3 linked regions of the Caenorhabditis elegans genome follow. The protein of the gene in region 3 interacts with the protein of the main gene of each other region in a biochemical or structural test. Each region holds a gene or a part of one and is shown on either strand. Other genes may lie near its edges.

What was found.
Region 1: of the proteins of mec-4 (region 3) and poml-1, one has a biochemical effect on the other in vitro, tested with the Caenorhabditis elegans proteins (one study listed by BioGRID).
Region 2: of the proteins of mec-4 (region 3) and mec-6, one has a biochemical effect on the other in vitro, tested with the Caenorhabditis elegans proteins (one study listed by BioGRID).

What each region holds. Positions count from the first base shown.
Region 1 is NC_003284.9:13,717,415-13,725,633, forward strand, and holds poml-1 (PON (paraoxonase) and MEC-6 Like), read right to left. Parts: upstream 5,508-8,219; 5' UTR 5,504-5,507; coding exon 5,421-5,503; intron 4,757-5,420; coding exon 4,633-4,756; intron 3,980-4,632; coding exon 3,833-3,979; intron 3,711-3,832; coding exon 3,598-3,710; intron 3,446-3,597; coding exon 3,353-3,445; intron 3,019-3,352; coding exon 2,911-3,018; intron 2,860-2,910; coding exon 2,686-2,859; intron 2,634-2,685; coding exon 2,547-2,633; intron 1,938-2,546; exon of another isoform or gene 1,914-1,937; coding exon 1,793-1,913; 3' UTR 1,732-1,792; downstream 1-1,731. Other genes in the region: shc-3 (SH2 domain-containing protein), read left to right, coding at 225-314, 431-501, 546-612, 660-812, 1,204-1,371, 1,415-1,527, 1,575-1,731; K11E4.6 (G_PROTEIN_RECEP_F1_2 domain-containing protein), read left to right, coding at 7,250-7,426, 7,506-7,660, 7,705-7,831, 7,944-8,143, 8,192-8,219.
Region 2 is NC_003279.8:6,722,110-6,729,685, forward strand, and holds mec-6 (Mechanosensory abnormality protein 6), read left to right. Parts: upstream 1-3,054; 5' UTR 3,055-3,057; coding exon 3,058-3,149; intron 3,150-3,200; coding exon 3,201-3,271; intron 3,272-3,396; coding exon 3,397-3,593; intron 3,594-3,912; coding exon 3,913-4,179; intron 4,180-4,233; coding exon 4,234-4,365; intron 4,366-4,763; coding exon 4,764-4,979; intron 4,980-5,773; coding exon 5,774-5,932; 3' UTR 5,933-5,980; downstream 5,981-7,576. Other genes in the region: W02D3.13 (uncharacterized protein), read right to left, coding at 854-919; lbp-6 (Fatty acid-binding protein homolog 6), read right to left, coding at 6,296-6,496, 7,051-7,257. UniProt on the Caenorhabditis elegans protein: Subunit of an amiloride-sensitive cation channel (degenerin channel complex) permeable for sodium, potassium, lithium and N-methylglucamine, and required for mechanosensory transduction (touch sensitivity).
Region 3 is NC_003284.9:16,801,279-16,809,529, reverse strand, and holds mec-4 (Degenerin mec-4), read left to right. Parts: upstream 1-2,414; 5' UTR 2,415-2,415; coding exon 2,416-2,598; intron 2,599-2,958; coding exon 2,959-3,214; intron 3,215-3,261; coding exon 3,262-3,624; intron 3,625-3,676; coding exon 3,677-3,788; intron 3,789-4,004; coding exon 4,005-4,165; intron 4,166-4,262; coding exon 4,263-4,411; intron 4,412-4,458; coding exon 4,459-4,616; intron 4,617-4,658; coding exon 4,659-4,747; intron 4,748-4,840; coding exon 4,841-5,013; intron 5,014-5,064; coding exon 5,065-5,160; intron 5,161-5,283; coding exon 5,284-5,398; intron 5,399-5,442; coding exon 5,443-5,503; intron 5,504-5,560; coding exon 5,561-5,689; intron 5,690-5,737; coding exon 5,738-5,813; intron 5,814-5,952; coding exon 5,953-6,138; 3' UTR 6,139-6,209; downstream 6,210-8,251. Other genes in the region: cas-1 (C-CAP/cofactor C-like domain-containing protein), read left to right, coding at 1-65, 204-425, 520-1,098, 1,163-1,369, 1,581-1,727, 1,773-1,853; aak-2 (5'-AMP-activated protein kinase catalytic subunit alpha-2), read right to left, coding at 6,680-6,781, 6,965-7,116, 7,527-7,838, 7,940-8,147, 8,197-8,251.

The sequences.
Region 1 (8,219 bases), 3.1 Mb from region 3:
TGGAATTCTAGTGTAATTTTTGAACTCACCTATCAGCAAATTACGAGAAACTGACTTACGCCGCACAATGTTTGCAAAATGCAAAAATTTGGTTCTATTGTTAACAAACCTAGTCTATCATTTGAGTGTACATATTTGCAAATAACGTGGTTATCAACAATTTTTATCATTTTCTCAATTTCTACTTTTGTGGTCACTTGAATATTGATTACTGTTATTTGGTAATGACTACCGCAGTTTTGAACGACCCCACATCTTCTTGGGGTGAATCAGCTAAACATGTCAATGCAAGCGGGGATAGATTTGCTGTTAAGGTGAGTTTGTGAAAATATAAATGAATGGGTGGTAAATTTATTTCTTAAGTTCTGTTTTAATCAGTTGAAAATGTTGCTGAAGTTTGTCACTTTAAATACAAAATGTCAAAATTCAGTACATGGGATATGCACCGATACTACAAACTATCAGGGAAAGACCCATTGCGGATAGAGATGCACTTGTTAGGTAAAGTGAAAATAGAAGACAGATTACTAATTTTAACCTTAAAGACATTGCATCAACACTGTTGTGTCTTCTAGAGCAACGCATGAGTATTCTGTAATTCAACATGAAGGGGTTTGAATAGTTTATTTAGTTTTGTCAAAGTGTTGTTAATAATTCAGGTTGTCGGTCCGTATGTTAGTGTATATCAGTTGGACTTATTTCTTAACATCAGCAGTTTCACTATAACATGTTTTCACATTCAAGACGGCAGAACTCATTTGCTCGGAAGATATAAGAATAACCAGATCTCGCACTATAAATACAGGGAAATAGTGAGTTTTTTAAAGATTTAACAAATATTTAAGATCAAAGAAGAGGTGTCATCAAAGAGGAATTTACTGAATTAAGTAAGAGGGATTATTCCATAAACGTACCTAAAATAGAGTCGAAACCTTTTTGAGTTGTGAATTTTCTAAAAAAGTCGAGCGGAACTTGTTTATCAGCATTTTTGATATAAAAATTTGAATTGGCCGTAATACCATTTAGGCGGTACTCTAAATCTAACCGCTTTGTGGCAAGTTCTAGCCTTAATCTTTCAGTCGTAACTAAATGTATATTTTTAACATAATTGATAATTGCAAGTTTGTGCACATGCACTACAAGTTTTATCATTTTCCCAATTCTCTATATTCTTTTCAAATAATGCAAAAATTCACATTTCAGGATGGACGTCATTATTTGGGCATTGTGATGAAAATTGGAAGAACTGAGAAACGAGAGTGCAACGTTTTCATGTTGGATAACGACATCGCCCTGAATGACCTTACAACAAAATTGCGAAGTGTCGATGAACGAAGACATAATAATGCGCTACAGTTGGAAACTCGCCTGGTTATTTTAAATAACATTCTTTCGCAAAATTATAATTATTCAGAGGTCGACACAAGAATACAGGTACACACCGAACATGCTTGCATGCTACCATGGTCCGCTGTCACACGAAGACGCCTGTAGGCAACTAGTTCTACCGGGAGAATTCATCATAAGGTATGTTTCGTTACTTCTATAAAAAAAACAAATTTTGCATTTTATAGGGATAGTTCAATGCGTGGAGAGTTTGCCGTTTCCTATAAAACTAGTCATGGACCTCACGACAAATCAATTGTGCCCAACAATAACATCGACTTTTTCCGACGATTTCAAGTCGATCAGAGTGTTTTGAAACATCCAGTTGTGAGACGTCAAGAGTGAAACCTAATACATTTTTATAATTTCAAATTTTTGTAACGACTACAATGCAAATAAAACTAGTTTATAAATGGCAATTGAGAATTTTAGTTCCATCGGAAATAAGAAGACTCCTTCCCGCTCGGACTGTCACATTTGCGTTGGAAATAGTGGCACCATCGTTAGAGTATAATTGTGTGATTGTTCTGAATAATAAAAAATATAAGATGTCGATTCATTTTATTTTTCGAGTTTTTATCCGAAAATAATTAACATTTGATGCATGCAAATGCATCCATTGTTAGCCGTAGAACTTTTTCAAATCAAAAGGACTGCTTCTTTCTGTTTTGTCAATTTTTCGAACATTCAAATTTGGTAACTGGTGAATTCTCCCCGTTTCCACAATATTTTTGCACAAAAAAGTGCCAGACAAATATGACACATAAATTTCTTTTTTTTTTACATTACAAGTCAAAATTTTGATGCGTTGAATTTTATTTCAGTCTATAAATTATGTCTTGTGTTCATAATTCAGAACGCAATTTATATGTTTTTTTCTTTACGCGCTGATGGGGGCGTTTTAAGTTTCAAGTGGTTCAGCTCCTTTGTCACAATATTTTCGTACAAACATGTAAAAGTATTTTCATTTTCATTATTCTTCAAATGTGTTCAATTTACTATCAATTAGACGCGCTGATTAAGACGTTTGGAATTTGTGATAGAACATTTGTTTGATGTGTAAATATGAGCCTTAACTTATCAGTTTTTAAAAACGAAATTGATTTCATCAATACATATTCAATATTTTGAAATTGTTTTTTTCAAGGAAAACAACTCACAGAGGTTTATCTTTGTCCGTGGGTACAGCAACTCGAAGTATCAAAGATGGTGAAGATGTTATGACATTAAATAGACTGAGTAAATACCTGAAAACTATCGACTTGACATTTTTCATTTCAAACAAAAACTTTAACCTACCGAAATTTAACTGGATGGCAGGTAATCAAAAATGAGCCATCAAAATCTTTCCAAATTGAGCTCGGCGAGCAGCCTAGATCGTACTCCTTCGAACTAACTATTTCAATTCCATTTTTGACTTGCACCTTCATTCGATAAATAGAGTTTCTGGTGGATGACGTAACAAAAATTGATCTACAAATTAAAAAAAAAAACAAATATTCAAAAACACATTTTAAAACCCACTTTTTTACAGAATCATAAACGATGCCAGTTGGGAAAGAAACTCGGGATATTTGTTGTATATTATTTCCACTCACAAAATAAATGTAACCGGTTGGAATCGGTACAACTCTGAAAAATTTTGAATACCGAAAATTGATTGTAAAGCCAGATTTACTTTACAAAAATTTGGTTAAAACAGAAGCATGAGTTTTTAGACTTAATTATTACAATAAAAACAAAAATTTTAAGAAAATTGCTTTTTCTTGTGGGATTTGGGATTTTTGCTTGAGACAGTGATTTAAAAAATACCCAAAAAAGAAATAACGTGAAATTTCCGATAAGTGCAATGAATTATTTTTACAAAGTGTTTGCATACAAGCGAAAAAAAACAGTCAACCCTTGATGATAATGCAGAAATCTACCAAACTCTACTGTCCTGTTTCAATAAAAAAAAAAACTGCACCGTTCAATGATATTTAATGCAAAGTTGGTTCCAAATATACTGGATTTAACAAAAAAGAACGAATTTAGACCAGCAGCCGATATATCAGTGAGTCTGAAATAAAAATGTGGAATGAAACTCGATTACGTAGAAAACTTGCTTAAGAAGCAAGTTTCAAAAAAGTTCAACATTTAAATCTAATCAAAAACTTAGAGTTTCTCTCTTCAAAACATGAACCAACTGAAAAATAAGAAAAATAATCCTACCCTTCAAATTGCTCATCTTTGAATGTTTTTCGGTATTGCCACGCATCATTCTGTTCGTTTGTCTCAAAAACATCGATATTGTTGGTCCTTTTATTGTGCACAAAAACATTTGGCTGAAATTTAAAAAAACGCTCTGGCATTAAACATCTCCCGCCCAACACCAATACCCCAAAGCCATGTTAATTATTGGAATGCATGTGGCGCTGGAGACAAGTAAAACTCATCAATTACTTACATTACTTGTCTCACTGTTGATACTTAATGCTCCTGGTGTCAGACGCCATTTTGGTGGTCCGCCGCGAATCTCTATTTCTCGAGCGGTACGATTGTCGGAGTAAAATGTGAAGAGATGTGTTTGGTCTGTATTGATGTCTTTCGAGTTCTATAAAAATATTCTGTTTCAAAGTTCTGTTCAAATTTATGTTCAAATTTCAAATCAAAATTTCTTACGACGCTTGCTTTCTCAGTTTCTCAACATTAAGTCGCTTTTGGAAAATTATGAATTGTGATGATATTTGGTTAGTCTGTCATAAGTGTGTTTTGGAGCAATATACCTATGTATTTGCTCTACAATATTCTGATAAGATAATCCAATTCCTTAACTTTTTATTGAGCAATAGAAGAAAAAGCTCTGTTTTTGTGAACTACTTCACATTTTCACCTGTTATCGCAATTAAGATTTCCCAGACATCAATTTCCGTATTTTTTGAAATGTACATATTGCTACTGTTCCTATGATTTCTATTGTAACTTTTTGAAAAAGGTTAAAACACATTCATTCACTCTATTCTCTGTCTCATCGTAAATCGGAATAAACATCAAGTATTTCTCTTTAACGTCATGACTACTTAGTAAAGTGCATTGCTTCATTTGAAATTTATCATGTTGCATAGCTTATTCAAAATTGCACGTCTAAGAATTTTTGCATTTTCATCGATAAATGTTAAAAGGTTTGTGATAACTTTCAGAACATCGCAAAAAAATGTTCCAAATCTGAACTTATATCAATAGTTGAGTACATATTAATCAACATACCGTAGTCATATACAGTCGTCCCGTGGTACTGGTAGTTAGTCCAAGAATTCCTGGCAAATTAGGAATAACGCCACATTCTCCAGGAACATGGTTGTAAGTCCTTTTGTTGATATCAATGTGTAATCTGAAACTGTTTCAGTCGTTTTGTTTAAAAAAAAACATAAATATTCTTCAAACTGTTTGTGTTCAGACTCTTCTCATTAATATTTGATTCCCTTACTTTTTCTCGTCTCTTGTCTAAAACGATACCCTAGAAAAATACATGTTTCTAACTGGTGTGTTAATGGAAGGGTTTATATTTACGAATTAGTTGCTCACAATTCTGACTGTCTTTTTACACATTTTTAGTTTATTATACAAAATCACTTTGAGTACTTATAATCGCGTGCTCAAGCACTTAGAATATTACAATTTTTCAAAAGAGATGGTGTACTTTTTTGGGATTTTTTTCCAACGATGACATTTTTTTTGTATTCGGAAACTTATGATCAGATTTTTTGCACTAGTATTTCCCTTTTGGTACATTATTAGATTATTTAAATAAAAAATTCAAGCAGTATTTTTCAAATTGTAGAAAGTCTATTACAATGCTGATTTTTGTTTTTCGTTTTTTTAAAATTTAATTGAGAACCTTTTTTGTGGTGTAAATTCTATGTTCCGTTTTTTATTGTTTTAACACCAGTTTTAGAAAAAAAGTGGGTTGGAGCATTTTTGTAACTGAACAAAATATTTTTCAATAGACTTATCATTATATTTTTAATTAAAAAATGTACCACTTTCCCACTTACAAAAGTTTCCCAAATAGAGTAGTGACTATAGCAAAACTTGTAAAAAATAAACAGTTACTAGCAAACGGGCTTAGCTGTAGCATGTTTCCAAGACAATATGAGCTTCTTTCCCACTTAACAAAGCTGTTTCTCCTCTCTTTGCATTTAAAATGTTTCCCTCGGTTCAAGCTGTCTATTCTATCGCATGGTGTCGTTATGCAACCCTCTATTGTGCATTAAGAAAGAGCTAGTTGGTAGTTGTTGCAAACATGATGAGCATAAAGAAAATTAATATCATAAGGCATTTATCGAATTAGTTTTTCATCTTGTTTCAAACCGGAAGCGATTTGGTATTTTGCTCCTCCTTGAGCTTCATGTATTTCAAGTTGTTAATTTTTGGTTTACAGTTTTTTTTTGTTGCAAATTTCAGATTCAATAAATAGAACATGATATTTTTCAAAAAAAATCCTCTCCGATTTGAATCAAAATACTGCGTGATCACGGCGCAAACTGCATTATTTTTATAGTTGTAGGAAACTTCAAGAAAAAAAATTTAGCTTGCAGTATAACTTTGTTTTATTTCTTTTAAAAAAATTAAAAGCGTTGATTTTACGCGTCAACTTCACAAATAGAAAAATTTGACTGATCAGTTTTGAAATTAAATTTAGAGCTTAGATAACGCAATCAGAAGGTGGGCGTGATGAAGTTTCTTATTTGTTGTTTTCTAAAAATTATTTTTCAGTTAAAAAATTTAAAGTATTTTTCCGGTTTTTCACACACGGAATCCAGTGAAGCATGTTCCTTCCAAGAATAAACGAGTATCCATTTTTTGCAAGTATTTTCAGATGAGTTTATTTCTGGGGAAGAAAAAATTGAGTTAAATTTTATTTGAAATAACAAAAAAAAAAGTTGATACATATTCTGATTTATAAGGTTTTTTTTGTCAATTTTCATTTATTTTTTGAAGGTAATCTACTTAACCGAAACAGTTTAATAATTTCGGTTTTTTGTGATTAAGTTACATAATGAAACTCACTTGAGCATTTTCTGCTCACATCATCCCGTCCAGACATTAATACCACCCACTTAATCTCAAGAGTGAGGTTATTCATACCTACGTCTTAAGTTTATTCGGTTTCGTAGACATGAAACGTTGATAAGGAAATTTGTCACGCAATGTCCAATGAACTTAATAATCTCTCAAAGAACTTTGAACTGAAATAATCGAGATGAAAAATTTGTTTAGGAGTTTTTTAGTTATATCGTTTTCCGAAAAGTGGTTAAGACTATTTCAAAATTGGTATTCAAGTATCAGTGGATCGTACTCAGTGTACATGAGTGATGATCAAGGATGTTGTAAATTTTTACTTTGTTTGTTGACAAATACTCATATAATCCAAATTTATTGATTTTTTAATTTACATGTTTTCATCGCCTTCTTATGCTCATTGCGTAACAATCGCTCTTTGAATATCTGATCTATAATAATAATGAGACATGCAAGTTTTACTGACATACAACAACTGAGTATATGTAGGTGTTTGCCCGAGAGAGTTCTGGAAACACGGAAAGAATATCGAATGTCTGATGTCCAGAATAGGAACCATATTTCCGTTACACGCCTTTTTGTTTCTTTCCTCGTAATCTCTGTAATCTTTATTCTTTTTATTCACTCATTCATTTGCAACTTAGAACCAAGAGAATTCAAAGTCAAATATTGCCGCCTACTCAAGTAGTTTACAAGTTATCGAATTTCAAACTCTCTTACCTGAATATTTTCACTTTACTCACTTTTTTTCGTTTCGTCATTTTCGAATATTTGAATTTTCCAAATTCCAGGACACTCAAAAATGAGCCATGCAAGTATGGTAATATCGGCATGCGCTTTTAATAGAAGTATTGCAACGCATATTTTGTACATCGTCCCCGAGATAATGTGTTCATTGTCTGGAATATTGTCAGTGGCAATAATAGTATATTCGTTCTTTCTATATGGGTTTAGACTGCTGTTCCATTATAATGCCAAGGTAACGTTCACAATATAACAGCATTTTGAAAGCAAAAAAAATAACAACAAAGAGTCATTGAATTAATTTTCAATTTCAGATTCTCATGATTCTGCTCACGATCTTTATCCTTATTTTTTCATTGGATATCGTCTATGTTTGCACACGACAAATATACCTTGCATTCAGTTATGAAAATGATTGTGATTTAGTTTTTGAAACAGCGTCTTGTTCCATATTCAGAAGAATTGCATTGTGAGTTACTACTGTAAAGGTTGAAGTAGTTTTTTTTACTTTAGAACATGTTTCGTTGGAGTCACTACAACTCAGTTCTGTCAAATGTTCGAGCGTCTAATTGCTACAGTAGCAAAAGAGAAATATGAATTTCAAACCCAATGGCTTGGTGGTTTATTGGTTTTTTTTTCAGTGAGTTTATTTTTCATAGTTTAAAATTCAAAATTTCTGAAGTTTACGTGTATGTACCATAAATTTTCGATACAATTTCTCAATAAATAGGTTTCCCGTTTTTTTTTTCCAGATTCTCTCCGCAATTCTTGCAATTGAATGGACTTTGTGGAATGAAGATCCATTGGAGCCCATGACCCATTGCCTTGTATACTCTACATCTGCATCAATTGGAGAAAGAATGTATATCGTGTTCCTGGGAATACTTGTTGTTGACATTTTTATATTGGCCGTTTTTCTAGCTTTATACCAAAATAACAAACGAAAAATATTGTAAGTAATGTAAATGTGAAATAATCAACTACATATATCTTTGATCAGATCCTCCGGGCTTAACAAAAAGTATCAG
Region 2 (7,576 bases), on a different chromosome or scaffold from region 3:
TCCTTCCCTTCCTTCGACAAGACAGCCACAACAAAATAACAACGGGAACAAGATTGGGGGCGGAGTCAAGTTCAACAAGTAGATCAAAAATTAATTATGAGAAAACTGTGCGATCGTATTTTTTTGATAATAGTAGAAATGTCATCATCAATGATGTTTGAGTATAATTTATGGAAATACAAAATTAATTCGCTGAGGCATAAAAGGATTATTGACTACTAAAATTGTATGGTTTTACAAAGTGCAAATAATTTTGCGTCTGGAATACTAAAAGTTAAAAATTTTCGGACAAATAGTAGGTAATAGGGCTGTGCGGCTGATGACTCGGCTGATGGAGCAAATCAACGTTTTTCAACGTATTAGCAATGATCAATTAGGGAATACTTGTATTTGCCATATCGGCTGAGTCTTGAGCTTCTAATTCTAGAAAAAAGTTTTTAAAAATGTGCACACCCCTTCCAGAAAAACTCGTTTTTCCAATCAGCCGACAGCCGACAGCCGAGTTACTCGGCTGATTCAAAAAGCCGACTGTTTTGTCAAGGTGTGTGCACTTTAAAAAAACTTTTTTCTTGAATAAGAAGCTCATGACTCAGCCAATACTGCAAATACAAATATTCTTTAATTGATCAGTGCTAACGCGTTGAAAAACTTGATTGTCTCCATCAGCCGAGTCATCAGCCGCACAGCCCTAGTAGGTAATCATAGTAAATTTTAAACTTTAACTGTAAACCCACCGATCAAAATGTTTTTAGAATTTTTTGATCTGACTTGCCAAAGTTTATCAATAAGATCATAGAATATTTGTTATTGTAAGCCAACAAAGTCTAAAATTCATAAAACAACGAGAACTTACTTATTGCTTTGCGACAATCCTAATTTTCAGCAGAAAATGAATTGATTCGTCTAATGCGGCATTCATCGAATGTTTCCCTGTTGTGTTATATTTTGGCCTGAATGAAATTTATAAATTTTATTTAATCTTTTGATATAAAAAAAATGAATTTAGAGAAAATAAAAAGAAGTTTAACTTAGATTTTAAAAAACAAAAATGTTGGAATAAAAACAGTTTGAGGGGGTACGTTTTCGTAAGGGGATTTTTTCGTAAGGAACGCTTTCAGTAGGGCAATGTGCGGCGCGCCTTTTCGCAAGCCCGCCGCACAGTCCTTCGCAATGCGCCGCACGGCTTTTTGCAATGCGCCGCACGCTTCTTCGTATTTATTTATTTATTTTTCCAACAGGAAATTTCGAACGGAATTCAATTAAAAACGGATTTTTAATGGAAATTAATTAGTTTTATTCGAGCTAAATACGGATATTTTCAGAATTTTCGATGACAAAAACGGGTTTCAATCGATTTCGAATCGATCAAAATTAATATTAATCGAAAATGAGCGTTTCCTTCCCGGAAAAAGAAGAACTTGATGCTGAGAGTGATCCAAGCGGAGCCAAACGCTTTTTTAGAGGCAAGTATTGATGTCTAAAGATTAATTGAAGAGTGAAAAGTATTTTTCAGCGTTCACAAACAACCCGAGTGAGCAGCAATTTTCCAAGCTGAAGGCAAGTTTCTTTTTGTAGTTTTTTAAGTTCTCAAATAGGTATATAACATCGATTTGTTTTGTTTTCCAGAGAATGTATCATCACAACGACTATCAAAACCTGCGAGGAGTGATTCAAAAGACCATTCAACTATCAAAATCATTGATCCTAGACTTGAAGAGACGATCCGGAAATCGAACAACCGCTGTGCCATTATACAAAAACCCCGATTTCTGTACTTCAGTGTTTTTGAATTATACCGGTTTCAGTGCTTTTAATGAGAAACTTTTCCCTTTTATGGAAATTCCGAAATGCTATCACTGATCTCTTTGTTTACCTCTGTGCCATTAGATTATAGAAACAATTTTCCATACTCAGGTTATCCAAATTTCGCCATGATTTTTCTTACTTAATTTAATCGAATTAACTTTTGTTTGCAGTTTTATTTTCCATTTCGACTGAATAAAAAATCACTTCTATCATTTTAATCGTTTGGCTCCGCCTGGATCACTCTCAGCATCAAGTTCTTCTTTTTCCGGGAAGGAAACGCTCATTTTCGATTAATATTAATTTTGATCGATTCGAAATCGATTGAAACCCGTTTTTGTCATCGAAAATTCTGAAAAAAATATCCGTATTTAGCTCGAATAAAACTAATTAATTTCCATTAAAAATCCGTTTTTAATTGAATTCCGTTCGAAATTTCCTGTTGGAAAAATAAATAAATAAATACGAAGAAGCGTGCGGCGCATTGCAAAAAGCCGTGCGGCGCATTGCGAAGGACTGTGCGGCGGGCTTGCGAAAAGGCGCGCCGCACATTGCCCTACTGAAAGCGTTCCTTACGAAAAAATCCCCTTACGAAAACGTACCCCCTCAACAGTTTTTTTGGTAAATGCAGTTGCGCTCCGATGATAATATGTCGCAACGGAATGGTGGGAATTCAAATAAATTATTCTGTGTACACACACCAACAAGCAACAAAAAAAAATGTTTATGAACTTTTAAAAACGGAAATTAAAAATTGCAGAATCAATTATCACAAACTAATTATGCATTTGTCCATCATTTTCTGAGTTAACGCTACACCCATTTAAAATTCACAACAGACTTGCCAAAAGAAAATGAGAAGAACGGAGGAAGTGCTCACCAAGAGCAGAAGAAAGCTCGTTCAGCTGAATTCTTCCCTCTATCTCTGGTTGCCTCCTAGTTTTCAATACTATCTCTCCTTCAGCAGATGGCCACTGGGACCAGCCGTTTCCAAGGAGGTCCACACAGTCAAATCCTTTGTTTTAGTATATGCTGTATGTTTTACTTGAGAGCGGAATATCCATTTTAAACTTTAAAAGTGGTCCGTTGTTTTGACTTTTCCGATATAAAAATTGATAAAAGCTCACTGAACTTGATTAGCATTTCATTTTATCTCGACTTTAGAAAGTAACCTTCCATCCAGTAGTGATCCTTTTAAAAAATGAAAAATGTTAAGTGTTCTTTATTTAAATCAGGTTTTCTATTTTACAGAAAATGGGTCTCCAATCGGCAGCTGCTCATTTCATAAATCGTTTTATTATTTGGATTACTATATTTATGGTTGCATGCTTTTTGTTGAGACTTTTGTAAGTTCAAGGGCACAATTTTAGTGATTATATTAACTTTTTGGTTTTCAGAGTAGTACTTGATCTCAACAAACGTGTTTATAATCACACACCTGGTCCCTGCAGAGTTCTAACAGATAACTGTAAGTTTAAATTTTTTTGAATTTTAAATTTTGTAACTGAAAAAAGGTTTTATTACAATTAGAAACACATTATGCGGATATCAAAAGTAAAAAATTATAAAAAGAGTCATCCATCTATATTCCAGATAAAGGAACCGCCGGCATGACATACGTCGAATCTCAAAAACGGGTGTACATAACATTGGGGTACGGTAGAGCACACGATTTGAAAACAAAAACTGGCATCGCATTTTATAAAACAAATCGAACAGATGGAAGGAGTCAGCAGGAAATGTATGATTTGATTGAAATGACAATCAATTGGAATGGTTATGAATATAAGGTGTGTAATTTAGTTTGAATAGCCTGAAAAGAATTGAAATATTGATTTGCTTCAGCAGTGGGGGCAATATAATGAATGAACTACTCGGTGATTGAGAGAAACTTTCTGCCAAACTTTTGCAAGTTTCAGACAACATTTTGAAAATGAGAGACTTAATCAGATCAGCAGATTGGTAGCTTATCTGAGCAGTTTTAACAGCCAGGAAGCCAGGTTGTTGGCAAAAAGTTTTCCCGAGATCCGAGTAAGAAGCCCCAATCGGGAAAGTTATATACTTTCGAGAATTATAATAAAACCTGAAACCTAGAACCTTTATTTTCAGAAAGAGTTCATTCCAACAGGAATTGATTCATATTCTTCATCAAATGGTCGTGTACTTCTCTATGTAATAAATGCTCATCCAAATCATCAATGTATTCATTTCTTCCAAATTGTTGAAAGTTCAAAACTTAATCATCGAAAAGCAATATGTGATCCTTCATTTTCAAGTCTCCAGGATATTGCTGTAGTAGGACCAGATCGACTGTTTGTCACAAATATGGCTGCATTTGGGAGAGGATGGGCTCAAATTTTGGAATTTTCATTACAGGTGAGTTGACCTCCAATTATGGAATCATATCAAATGACAATCGGTTTATTACAGACTGGACAAGGAGCTGTATACTACTATGATGGTAGCAAACTATCAACTGCTGCTTCCAGCCTGATTGCACCTACGGGAATTGGATATGACGCAAAACGAAGAATTCTTTATGTTGGATCTATGATCAGAGAGGTTTGGAACGTTTTGGTAAATTTCCAAATATACAAAACAATTTGGGCTTTTGAATAAAACTTCGAGACACTTCGGCGGTTTTTTTTATGCTGAAATTGTTTCAAGTTATTCGAAAAGCTGCCTTCACAAAATTTTAAACACTTTGTTTGTTTCGATGATACGCATTGGCATTTTCTAACTTTTCCCTGGGATCACCTATGTTAGAAACACGGAAGTCATTAAAAAAAGCTAAATAGTTTCGCAGCATCTGCCAAGAAGATACAATTCTGAGGTCTACTGAAAAAGTTGTTGCAACCGACAGCTTTGATTTTATATTATTTCTGTTACGTTTCAAAAATATAATTTGTTTAAAAAAACTGTCCTGAAGCACAAACAACTTTTGAATGAAGAATTTTCAGTCAATATTCGCTTACAAAGTAGCGAAGGATACAACACTTGAATTATTGTATGAAATGATGTTATTGACATCACCAATTGGAGTTTTCGTTGAATCAAAAACTGGAGATATTTGGATTGCTGCTCATCCAGTTATTCATGAATCTGCATGGCATTATACTCATCCAGAAAATCAAAATATACATTCTCCAAGCCAAATTTTGAGAATAAGGATACAGGTTTGTATTATTTTTGTTTTTATTTCAAAGTTTATTAGGCAGAAATTTAAAACTCAGATCTGAATACAGTGTTTCTAATTCAATCTTTAAAAAACGATTTATTTCATTTTCAAATAAAAATAAATTTTAACCAGCAACTATATAGTGGAAAGATTCCTGTTCCAATTTGAAGGGAGCAGTTCCTGCGTAGATATATGGAAATATTATATAAGGCTCCACAAATGACATTATAATAAATAAAAATAAAACTAGAATAAAAACCTTGAAATTAGTCAATACCATAATGAATTTAATGAAAAACAAGTAATCTCCGGAGAGGTTTAAATATATAAATTTATTCGATTCAAGTGTTCTTATGACTGAAACACATGATATGTTCGACCACAGACAAGGTACTTCAGACTAAAAATGATTGAGACAAGTGTTGTGAATATTGGAAAAATTTAGTTCCGTTTCACGAGATTTCGAAAAATTTTGAAGAATTTTGAAACTTTTTCTTTTTTTTCGAAGCATTTTTAGTGCATCGAGCTTTCCCAGTTTTCTTCTATTTATTAAAATAATCTAGGTATTCTACCCCGTTCAAATTTTTTTGTAAAATAAATTTGAAACTTCAATATAATAGCTTCTTTATCATTTGTAAAGTATCAAATTACGCTAACCAAGCACTTTGTTCCCATAAACATGTTGTCAAGACTCGAACTTATCAGACTCTGTTTCCACGTTTTTTATCAATTCATTCAAATACTAATCAATGCGAAAAAGCGTCAAAAAATCAAAAATCGCATTTGTTTCAGGAAGAAGGCAACTCTTGGGTAACAACTGAACCGTATGCAAACGATGGAGCAACTATTTCGGCGAGTTCATCAGTTGTATTCACTGATGAACAAATGTTAATTGGAAGTTCATTTGGAAGACTTCTTCATTGTGATCTTACGCATTCATATATTACATAGTCAAACTTTTAGAGCTTATTTAAAAAATAAACCGATGAATATGATCTAGAAACAGATGTGTTGTAGACATTGTATCTAGATTTATTTATAAACTTGTCGAGGCGTAACGGGGGCGCCACGCCTCCACCCCTTTTCAATAGCCTTCCAGCGTTTTAGAGGAAAGTCGATTTATGAGAATTTAGCAGCTTTCAAATTAACTAATTTCTCGTCACAATTAGTCATTCTTAGTGTCTTGATTCGAAGTCTGATAATATATTTCTCATTTATTGCCATAAAGAAATAATTGTAATACTTTAAATTTCAATATTTACTATTAAATATCACAGGAAGACAAGAACAAAGCTCATGTTGGGAATTGAGAATCTATTCGCGAACGTACTCGCGGCGAGAAACAACGGATCCAGATTCAAGAGTAGTGATAAGCTTGTCTCCTTCGAGCCAACGGGTGATAATTGATTCCTTATCAGAGTCCTTGATCTTCTTTTGAATGTGAATGAATTTTCCGTTCTCGAAGTTGACAACTGACTTGACGGTACGGCCATCTGGAGTGGTCTCATCGAATTCCTGGGATAAAAACATTAAATATAAGTCTGAAGAATGCTAGTTCAATTTCAGGGTTGAAACAATTTTTATTGGATACAATTACTTGGAATTTGGGGATAACTTGCTCAAACCAAAAGCTCAAATGGATAGGATAAAATGTTGGCAGGAATTTGCTCACAGCAAATTGTGGGCAGAAAGTCGCTAAACTTTGTCCACAATTGCCGATATCAACGAACGTGCATTTTGAAATCAGATATTGTTTCTCATGGCTTTAAAAAAATATTATTCGTGCATGAAAAAACACGAAAACTATGGGAAATACATATTGTTTATCAAAGTCTTATAACAAGAAATCAATGATCATTTTATGATTTATGGTTTGAAATGTTATCACCTGGAATTTTAAGACTTTTTGTCTGTGAATATGGAAGTAACAATTTTTATTCATAAATTTGTAGTGCGTTTCTTTATTTTTATGTAACTTTTTTGTCGCAAATTTGGAATCAGAAAACCCACATTTTTTTTGATAACATTATTTTTGTCTTTTGTAAGTAAAAAACTTTGCACTTTCTTACCTGTCCCAACTTGAAAGAAAGAGTGGTGTTCTTGAATGTGGAGTATTGGTTGGAATACCACAAATCTCCTTCGACCTTGATTTCCAAAGTTGGCTTCAAGTTGGCAGCAGCCTTACGAGTGATCAATCCAACTCCAACCTCCTTCATGTACTCCTCGAAGTTCTCTGAGTGAATGAGCTTCCAGCGTCCAACGAATTCTTGAGACATGGTGATGGTTCTGTAAATAGAAGAAGTTGGAAAAGCAGGTAAAAAGTTCAATAGATTAACGGATATGTAATAGGTCTGAATAAAACGTTAGTCTGAAATTATGGTTAAAAAATCTTATTTTAAAAATTAATTTTAGAAGATGAACTATCATATCACTTGCAAATGGAAATAAAAGAAAAGTTGCAAATCAACAAGAAAACGAATGGCAATGCCTTGGGAAATCATTCGTATTTAGGTGGTCTGATAAATGGAATGATAGGGGGCAAGAGTGGGCGGAGATTCAAAACGTTTTCTCTATTTCTGTCTCCTCTATTTTTCG
Region 3 (8,251 bases):
TCGAGGAGCCACTGGCCAATTGGAGCAAGTTGACAGATCAACTCGGCGGCGATCTTGCTGCTGTGGTGAGTGTTCAAATGATGTTTTGTATTGATTAAAACAAAAATAAATAAAAAATTGCACTAATCTATTATAATTCCTTATCTTTATCCAAATTACCCAACATAGAATAAGAGTTTAACATCGTAAAACAAATATTTCAGAAGCCAAAAGTGTTGGCTATGTTTGCCAGTATGCGCAACTATTTATGGTCTGCTGCTGGAAAATCGGAGCCATCGGCCGAGGAAGCTCAGAAGATGCTCACTCCAGTTATTAACTTGCTTGGTGAAATCAACAATTTCAAGGACACGAAGAGAAAGACCCCTCACTGGAACCATCTCAATTCGGTGGCTGAAGCACTTCCGGCTCTTGGATGGGTGACCGTGGTATGTTAACATTCAAAAGTTGAAATAAAATATTACTGTGCTCAAGATTCGATAATCTTAACATACATATTTTCTAAACTGCTTCTAATTTCAGAAGAAAACCCCAGCTCCATACGTGAAGGAGTTCATTGAGGCTGCTCAATTCTACATCAACCCAATTCTCCGCGAGTTCAAGGAGACCGATCCAAGACACGTTGAGTGGACCAAGGCTTGGAAGGCTGTATTTGAAGAGATGCAGAAGTTTGTTCGTCAAGTTCACACTACTGGTCTAGTCTGGAACAGCGCTCCAGGAGCCGCCCCTGATGCTTCTGCCTCTGCTCCATCTGCCGCTGCTCCATCAGCTCCAAAAGCTCCAGCAGGTCCAGGAGGACCACCCCCACCACCTCCACCACCACCAGCCGACTTCTTCGCCAACATTGCTCCGCCACCAGTAGATGCTGACAAGGCAAGCCGTGATGCTCTCTTTGCTTCGTTGAACCAGGGAGAGGGAGTTACTTCTAGACTGAAGAAGGTCACGGCCGATATGCAGACTCACAAGAACCCAAACCTCCGAGGAACCGCTGTTGTGCCAGCCGCTGGTGCTTCTCAGGGCGGCTCATCTCCTGCCAAACCAGCTGCTCCAGTAAGGAAGCCACCACACAAGGAGCTGGAAAACGGAAAACAATGGATTGTGGTAAGTGTTTCAACAACTTGAAAAACATATTCAATAAGCATTATCAATGAAAAACTATTTACAGGAGTACTTTGTCAACGATCCAAACATTGTTCTCGATGTTGCCGATAAGAAGCAGACTGTCTATATCTACCGTTGTGAGAATTCTGTGATTAAGGTCAACGGAAAGGCCAATTCTATTACTTTGGACGGGTGCAAGAAAACGTCTGTTGTGTTTGATGCCCTTGTGGCTCAGTGCGAAACTGTCAACTGCCAATCTGTGCAAATTCAGGTAATCAGAAGACTTTTAGTTGTACAAGCTTCAATACAAGCTCAAATACAATACTATTTTTTTTCCGTCTGAACATAAAATTAGTTTCTAAATAAAAAATGTGAAAATAAATATTTGGTTTTAATCGTTAAAATCTTCCAAATTACTAATAAAGTTCAGTCAACTATATGCTTCGAAATTCACTGAATCTATTATTGTTATTAATTTTTAGACCCTTGGAGAGCTCCCAACTCTTTCAATCCAGAAGACTGATGGATGCCAGGTGTACTTGTCAAAGGTGGCTCAAGGATGCGAGATTGTCACTTCCAAATCCAGTGAGATGAACATCTCCGTGCAAACCAATGATGATGGGGATTATGTAAGTTTTTCGGATTGTAGAACCCAATCTAAATTTCCTTTTCAGTCGGAGTTCCCGGTTCCGGAGCAGTTCAAGACAACTTTTGTCAATGGCAAGCTAGTCACTGTCGTCTCGGACATTTGCTAAATCTTCTCACGTCATAACCTTATTTTTCAACTTCATGAACTATCCCCTCGAACTTTTTTATTTGTCCCTGTCTACAATTCTTTATAAGCAATTGAGACACACTTTGCTTTATTAAATAATACCGATTTTGTTTTGTATATGCATTGACTGGTGCTCAACTATTTTTATTGAAAAAATTACTTTTTACTGTCTCGTCGAATAAAAGTGATCCCTTCCAAAAAATAGTTATTCATGTTTGAAGGTTTGTGATCGTAGAACAATTGCACCGAATGTAGTGTAAAAAAAATTCCAGAATGTTCAAATACATTTCCACCCTCACCAGAACATCTCAAACACCAGGCACATTTCAACACACTTTCATGGATCTTATCTTGCCTCAAAACCATCAGCTTTCTTCTCATTCTACAAGTATGAAACAATCTACTATTCTATACATTTATAATGTAATGGAACCATGTGAAGACATGAGCAAGATCATTGTCGTCAGCGACTACCCCTCCTTCATTTTTCTTAGAGTATCAGTTTGCTAATGCTATTTTTTTTATCGCTATCAAGTTATAGAATGTCATGGATGCAAAACCTGAAAAACTACCAACACCTTCGGGACCCATCCGAGTACATGTCCCAGGTTTATGGAGACCCGTTAGCGTACTTACAAGAGACGACTAAATTTGTGACAGAAAGAGAATATTATGAAGATTTTGGTTATGGCGAATGTTTCAACTCTACAGAATCAGAAGTACAAGTGAGTTTACGTAATTTTCAAATTGCAACGGTAAATTTTATTTTTGTATGCAATTGTATTTTGTTCCCAGTTTTTGAAATATTCGTTATATACATTGAAGTTTTTCAACTGTAAATTTGAAGGCCCGTATTTTCTTAATTCTTCGATAAGTATTTTGTCTTTATAACTACTAAGTTTTTGCTGAATCAACTTGTTTATTTTACTTTGATAGCTTATCTGCAAAACTGTACCAAAATTAAAAACCAAGATTTTTTGTTTTGGAACAATATAATCAAAACGCTTAAAATGTTCAATAAACGGTAAAAAAAATAAAACTTGCAAAAAGTCGCAGCTGAGTAATCTAACATTTCCGAATTTCAGTGTGAACTTATTACGGGAGAATTCGATCCAAAATTGCTACCCTATGACAAACGTCTAGCCTGGCATTTCAAAGAGTTTTGCTACAAAACATCTGCTCACGGAATTCCCATGATTGGTGAAGCTCCAAACGTATATTATCGAGCAGTTTGGGTCGTACTTTTTCTTGGATGTATGATAATGCTCTATCTTAATGCTCAATCTGTGCTTGACAAATACAACAGGAATGAGAAAATTGTCGATATTCAATTGAAATTTGGTAGTTTGAAAAATCATGTGCTCCTTACTGAGCTTTTTTATTTCCAGACACTGCACCTTTTCCAGCAATTACGCTTTGTAATTTGAATCCTTACAAAGCAAGTTTAGCAACAAGCGTGGATTTAGTAAAGCGAACGTTGTCAGCATTTGATGGAGCAATGGGAAAAGCCGGAGGAAACAAAGATCACGAAGAGGAACGCGAAGTTGTCACCGAACCACCCACCACCCCTGCACCCACCACAAAACCGGCACGTCGTCGAGGAAAACGTGATTTATCTGGAGCATTTTTTGAGCCAGGATTTGCAAGATGCCTTTGTGGAAGCCAAGGGTCTAGTGAGCAAGAGGATAAGGATGAGGAGAAGGAGGAAGAGTTACTTGAAACAACTACCAAAAAGGTATTTAATATTAATGGTGAGTGTTGCATGTCAAATGAGCATCGCGTAAAACATTCTTTTGAACACAGATGCCGATGAGGAATGGGATGGAATGGAAGAATATGACAATGAGCATTATGAGAATTACGATGTGGAAGCAACTACTGGAATGAATATGATGGAAGAATGTCAATCAGAGAGGTAAAGTCTAGTCTAACAACTTTGACAAAAAAGTGTTTGAAAAAGTCTAGTCTTACAATTTTGAGGTACGGTAAAGTTTGTCCATTTTGATAAGTCCAATTTTTGAGAAGGCTCAATTTTGCCTTCCATAAATTTGAAATTCATATGGTTCCAAAATACAGAAGTTCATAATGAGACGTTTCGAAATGTTCTCCACAAATCTTTTTTCTCGTTCAGAACAAAATTCGACGAGCCGACGGGATTTGACGATCGGTGTATTTGCGCTTTCGATAGATCAACTCATGATGCGTGGCCCTGTTTTCTGAACGGAACCTGGGAAACCACCGAATGTGATACTTGCAATGAACATGCTTTCTGCACCAAAGATAACAAAACTGGTAGGTTTTTCAATCACTTTGCCAAACTAGCTTCACTTGTTTGATTTTACTCTTCTTAATTTTTATTGTTGTTTTTTTCTAAATCGGAATTTTTCAGCGAAGGGCCATAGATCCCCATGTATTTGTGCTCCATCTAGATTCTGTGTAGCATACAACGGAAAGACGCCACCAATTGAAATTTGGACATATCTTCAAGGAGGAACTCCAACTGAAGATCCAAACTTCCTTGAAGCTATGGGATTTCAGGTAACAATCACAAATATATAAATCAAGTGGAAACTGAAAAGTTTCAGGGAATGACAGATGAAGTTGCAATTGTCACTAAAGCCAAGGAAAACATCATGTTTGCAATGGCTACCTTGTCAATGCAAGATAGGGAACGGCTAAGTACTACAAAAAGGGAACTTGTCCACAAGTGCTCGTTTAACGGAAAAGCGTGTGATATCGAAGCGTTAGTTAGGCTTTCAGATATGATATAAATTCAATTATTCAGAGATTTTCTGACTCATATTGACCCTGCGTTTGGTTCGTGCTTTACCTTCAATCATAATCGAACAGTAAACTTGACTAGTATTCGAGCAGGTTAGTTTCCTCAAAATTTTTTCCACATATTTTTTTCTAAAATAATTTTTGAAGTCCGTTATGTATAAACCAAAAAACGTGTTCCGATTCCAGGTCCCATGTACGGATTACGTATGCTGGTTTATGTAAACGCGTCTGACTATATGCCAACCACGGAAGCCACAGGCGTTCGTTTGACTATTCATGACAAAGAAGATTTCCCATTTCCTGATACGTTCGGTTATTCTGCTCCAACTGGATATGTATCCTCATTTGGATTACGATTGGTATTAGAAATTCAAACTCTTTTTATAGAGTAATGGTGTTGTTGTTTTCAGCGAAAGATGTCACGTTTGCCAGCACCTTATGGAGATTGTGTGCCAGATGGCAAAACATCGGACTATATTTACAGCAATTATGAATATTCGGTAGAGGTGAATAGTAAACAGAATTTAAGCAAGTTTAGTAGGAAAAATGGGTCATAGAAACTTTGTGATTCTTGTTAAAATAGCAATTAAATATAGAACTTAATATGATAACAGAGGGAACTATTCCAGGGCTGCTACCGTTCTTGCTTCCAACAACTCGTGCTGAAAGAGTGCAGATGTGGAGATCCACGTTTCCCAGTCCCTGAAAATGCACGGCATTGCGATGCAGCAGACCCTATTGCAAGTTAGTTTCAAATTTGACATCTCCATAAATATTTTTTTCTGCAGGAAAATGTCTTGACGCCAGAATGAATGACTTGGGAGGCCTACACGGATCTTTCCGTTGCAGGTAACTTTTGAATTGTTATATACTTTTTAAATAAAAAACTGCAATTTCAATTTTAAGATGCCAACAACCATGCCGCCAGTCAATCTACTCCGTTACATACTCGCCGGCAAAGTGGCCGTCGTTATCTTTGCAAATTCAACTAGGATCGTGTAATGGTACAGCGGTAGAGTGTAATAAGCATTATAAGTAAGTTAATTCAAGAAAAAACACACTTTAAAATTGGGCCTATTTGAGAGAGAACGGAGCAATGGTGGAAGTGTTCTACGAGCAGTTGAATTTTGAAATGCTCACTGAATCAGAGGCTTATGGGGTGAGTTGAAAAATTTAGGCAAAGAACGTGTATCAAAGAAATGTATCAAAAAAATTCGAAAAAATGCCGAATTACTACTAGCGAGCAGGCAAAAAAAAATTTATTTTTATTCCAAAAAATTTATCTCAACTATTTCTAGTTTGTCAACTTGCTAGCCGATTTTGGTGGACAACTCGGTCTTTGGTGCGGAATATCCTTCCTTACCTGTTGCGAATTTGTGTTCCTTTTCTTGGAAACTGCCTACATGAGTGCCGAACATAACTACTCTCTGTACAAAAAGAAGAAGGCTGAGAAGGCAAAGAAAATTGCGTCTGGATCTTTCTGAATTTGTTTTTTCTTGTTTTAAAGTTACCATTGCAATGTTGTGTCTTAAAATAAAAATTTACATGAGAATAATTGAATAATTTTGGGTAGGAAATTATTCAATTAATATTTTACTTACAATAGACACAAAGAAGTAGGAGAAGGGGAGTTTAAAAGACAGAAAAAAAAACTACTGAAGAGAAACATATAAAAAACAGAAACAATCACTCGCTGAAGGAAAATCTATTCACAGAAACAAAGGGGGTGACAAGTCAAGTCATAACTTTAAATAATTATTTGTATGGTTACTTGTCAAAATTGGCTGAAAATGAAAGCGGCACTAGAATAGCATCAATTAAAATACGTGGCATTTACGGAGGTGAAGGGGGGAGGGGCAAAACCAAACAGAGTCAAGAAAAAAAATACAAAGATACTGTAAGCTGCAACAAAGTGAACCAATATAAGAAACGGGGGTTTCAAGCTTAATACAAGGAATGGAAGAAATAAATTTTGAGACAGAAAAGTTGAATTTTACACAGAGCATTGTTGGCATCAAGGAGTGCTTAACGAGCCAGTGTTCCAATCAATGCGGCGCAAATCTCAAAGAATTGCATAGTCTGGGAAAGCTTAGCTCCTCCAGGAGATGGTGGTGGTGTCACATCGCACTGAAAATACTCGGTCATTGAAAATTAGTGCGTTAATTATTTAAAGGTAGTGGCATCAACTTCTTGTCACTCGAAGATTTTTAAAAAACCTATAACTATATCAACCACTCCAAATACAATTCCAGTTATTTGTAATACTTCACAATAAAAATATTGAAATAAAAGAAAAATATTAATTCTCACCGACATGTCCGAAAAATCATGCACTTCCATTTTCTCAATACTCGCCTCCATACTCATCGCCTGTGGCATGCTTGACGTTCTAGTTCCACGAATTCCGGCCGGCTTCTGCGGCATAGACATTGATGCGTGTCGGGATGAAGATGCACTGGCGGCTGAAATTTTTAATGAATATTGGTTGAGGTGGAAATTATATATTCATTTGACCCATTAGGAAAAAATGCATACAAAAAAAATCGTCTTGAGAAGACTTGACGCTATTGAAAAAGAATTTCCATTGACCTTTTTATTTTTCCAACTGCAAAGCAAACTTCGTTTTAAACATTTCTGAACAAAATTATTGTGACACGTTAAGCTAGACTACATGCAGAAACTTAGGTTATAGAGGGGCATGTTCAGAGACCATTGCAAAATATTATTCTACGGCTTTTCAAATTCAAATTGTGATTTTAGTTTAAAAAAATGCACTAACTTGTATTTTCTAGTATTTTCTAGAACGATTAACTAAATATTTTAAACAGGTTCCACTTTCAAAAAGTTCAATCTAAACAAAGAAAACCCTTACATCCAGACTCCTCGTCGGCCAAACTCTTGAAATCCAACAAGTAACTTCTCTGATCCACTTGGTACAACTGCAACGACATCTTTGGCGGGTCGGCAGCGGGTGCATCAGGCTTGCGACGAACAATCACATGATATGGGTTGAGCACCTTCCACTCCATGTCCAGCTGCTTCATCGCACGGAACACCTCGAACATGATGTCTTCCGGACGACTTTGGGATCGGATACCCAGATGCCACTTGGCACGTTTGTTGCGGTTCGCGCCACTGGCTTCCGTGTTGTCGAGAGTTGGTGTGATCTTGCTGCTGACTGACGCTGAAATTGAAGATTTAGATATTGTTTTACGAATTTCATGTTCGATGCAAAAGTTTTATTATTCTTTGCCACCAAGAGTTTTTCTATGCACCCTCTCCTACCTGCAATGCGCTCTGGATGGCGATGAACTGGTCCAGGTCCCTTATTCGGCGTCACTTGATAAAACTCCTCAATTGACAACTTGGCAGTCTCATCGGCAATTCTCTTGTTATCAACAATCAAGTTATATGCAATCGACAAATGGTGATGTGGATCATCTCCCAGCAATGCTGAGGTGACTTCCTCTTCGGCGACATGATAGCGCTGAAACTTTTCATTGTGATTAGAAACTTCTGCTCCTATCGAACACGATTAATACCTCAGTGACCTCTCGGACAGCCTCAATATCAACAATGGAAGCCTCACTCTCGTTG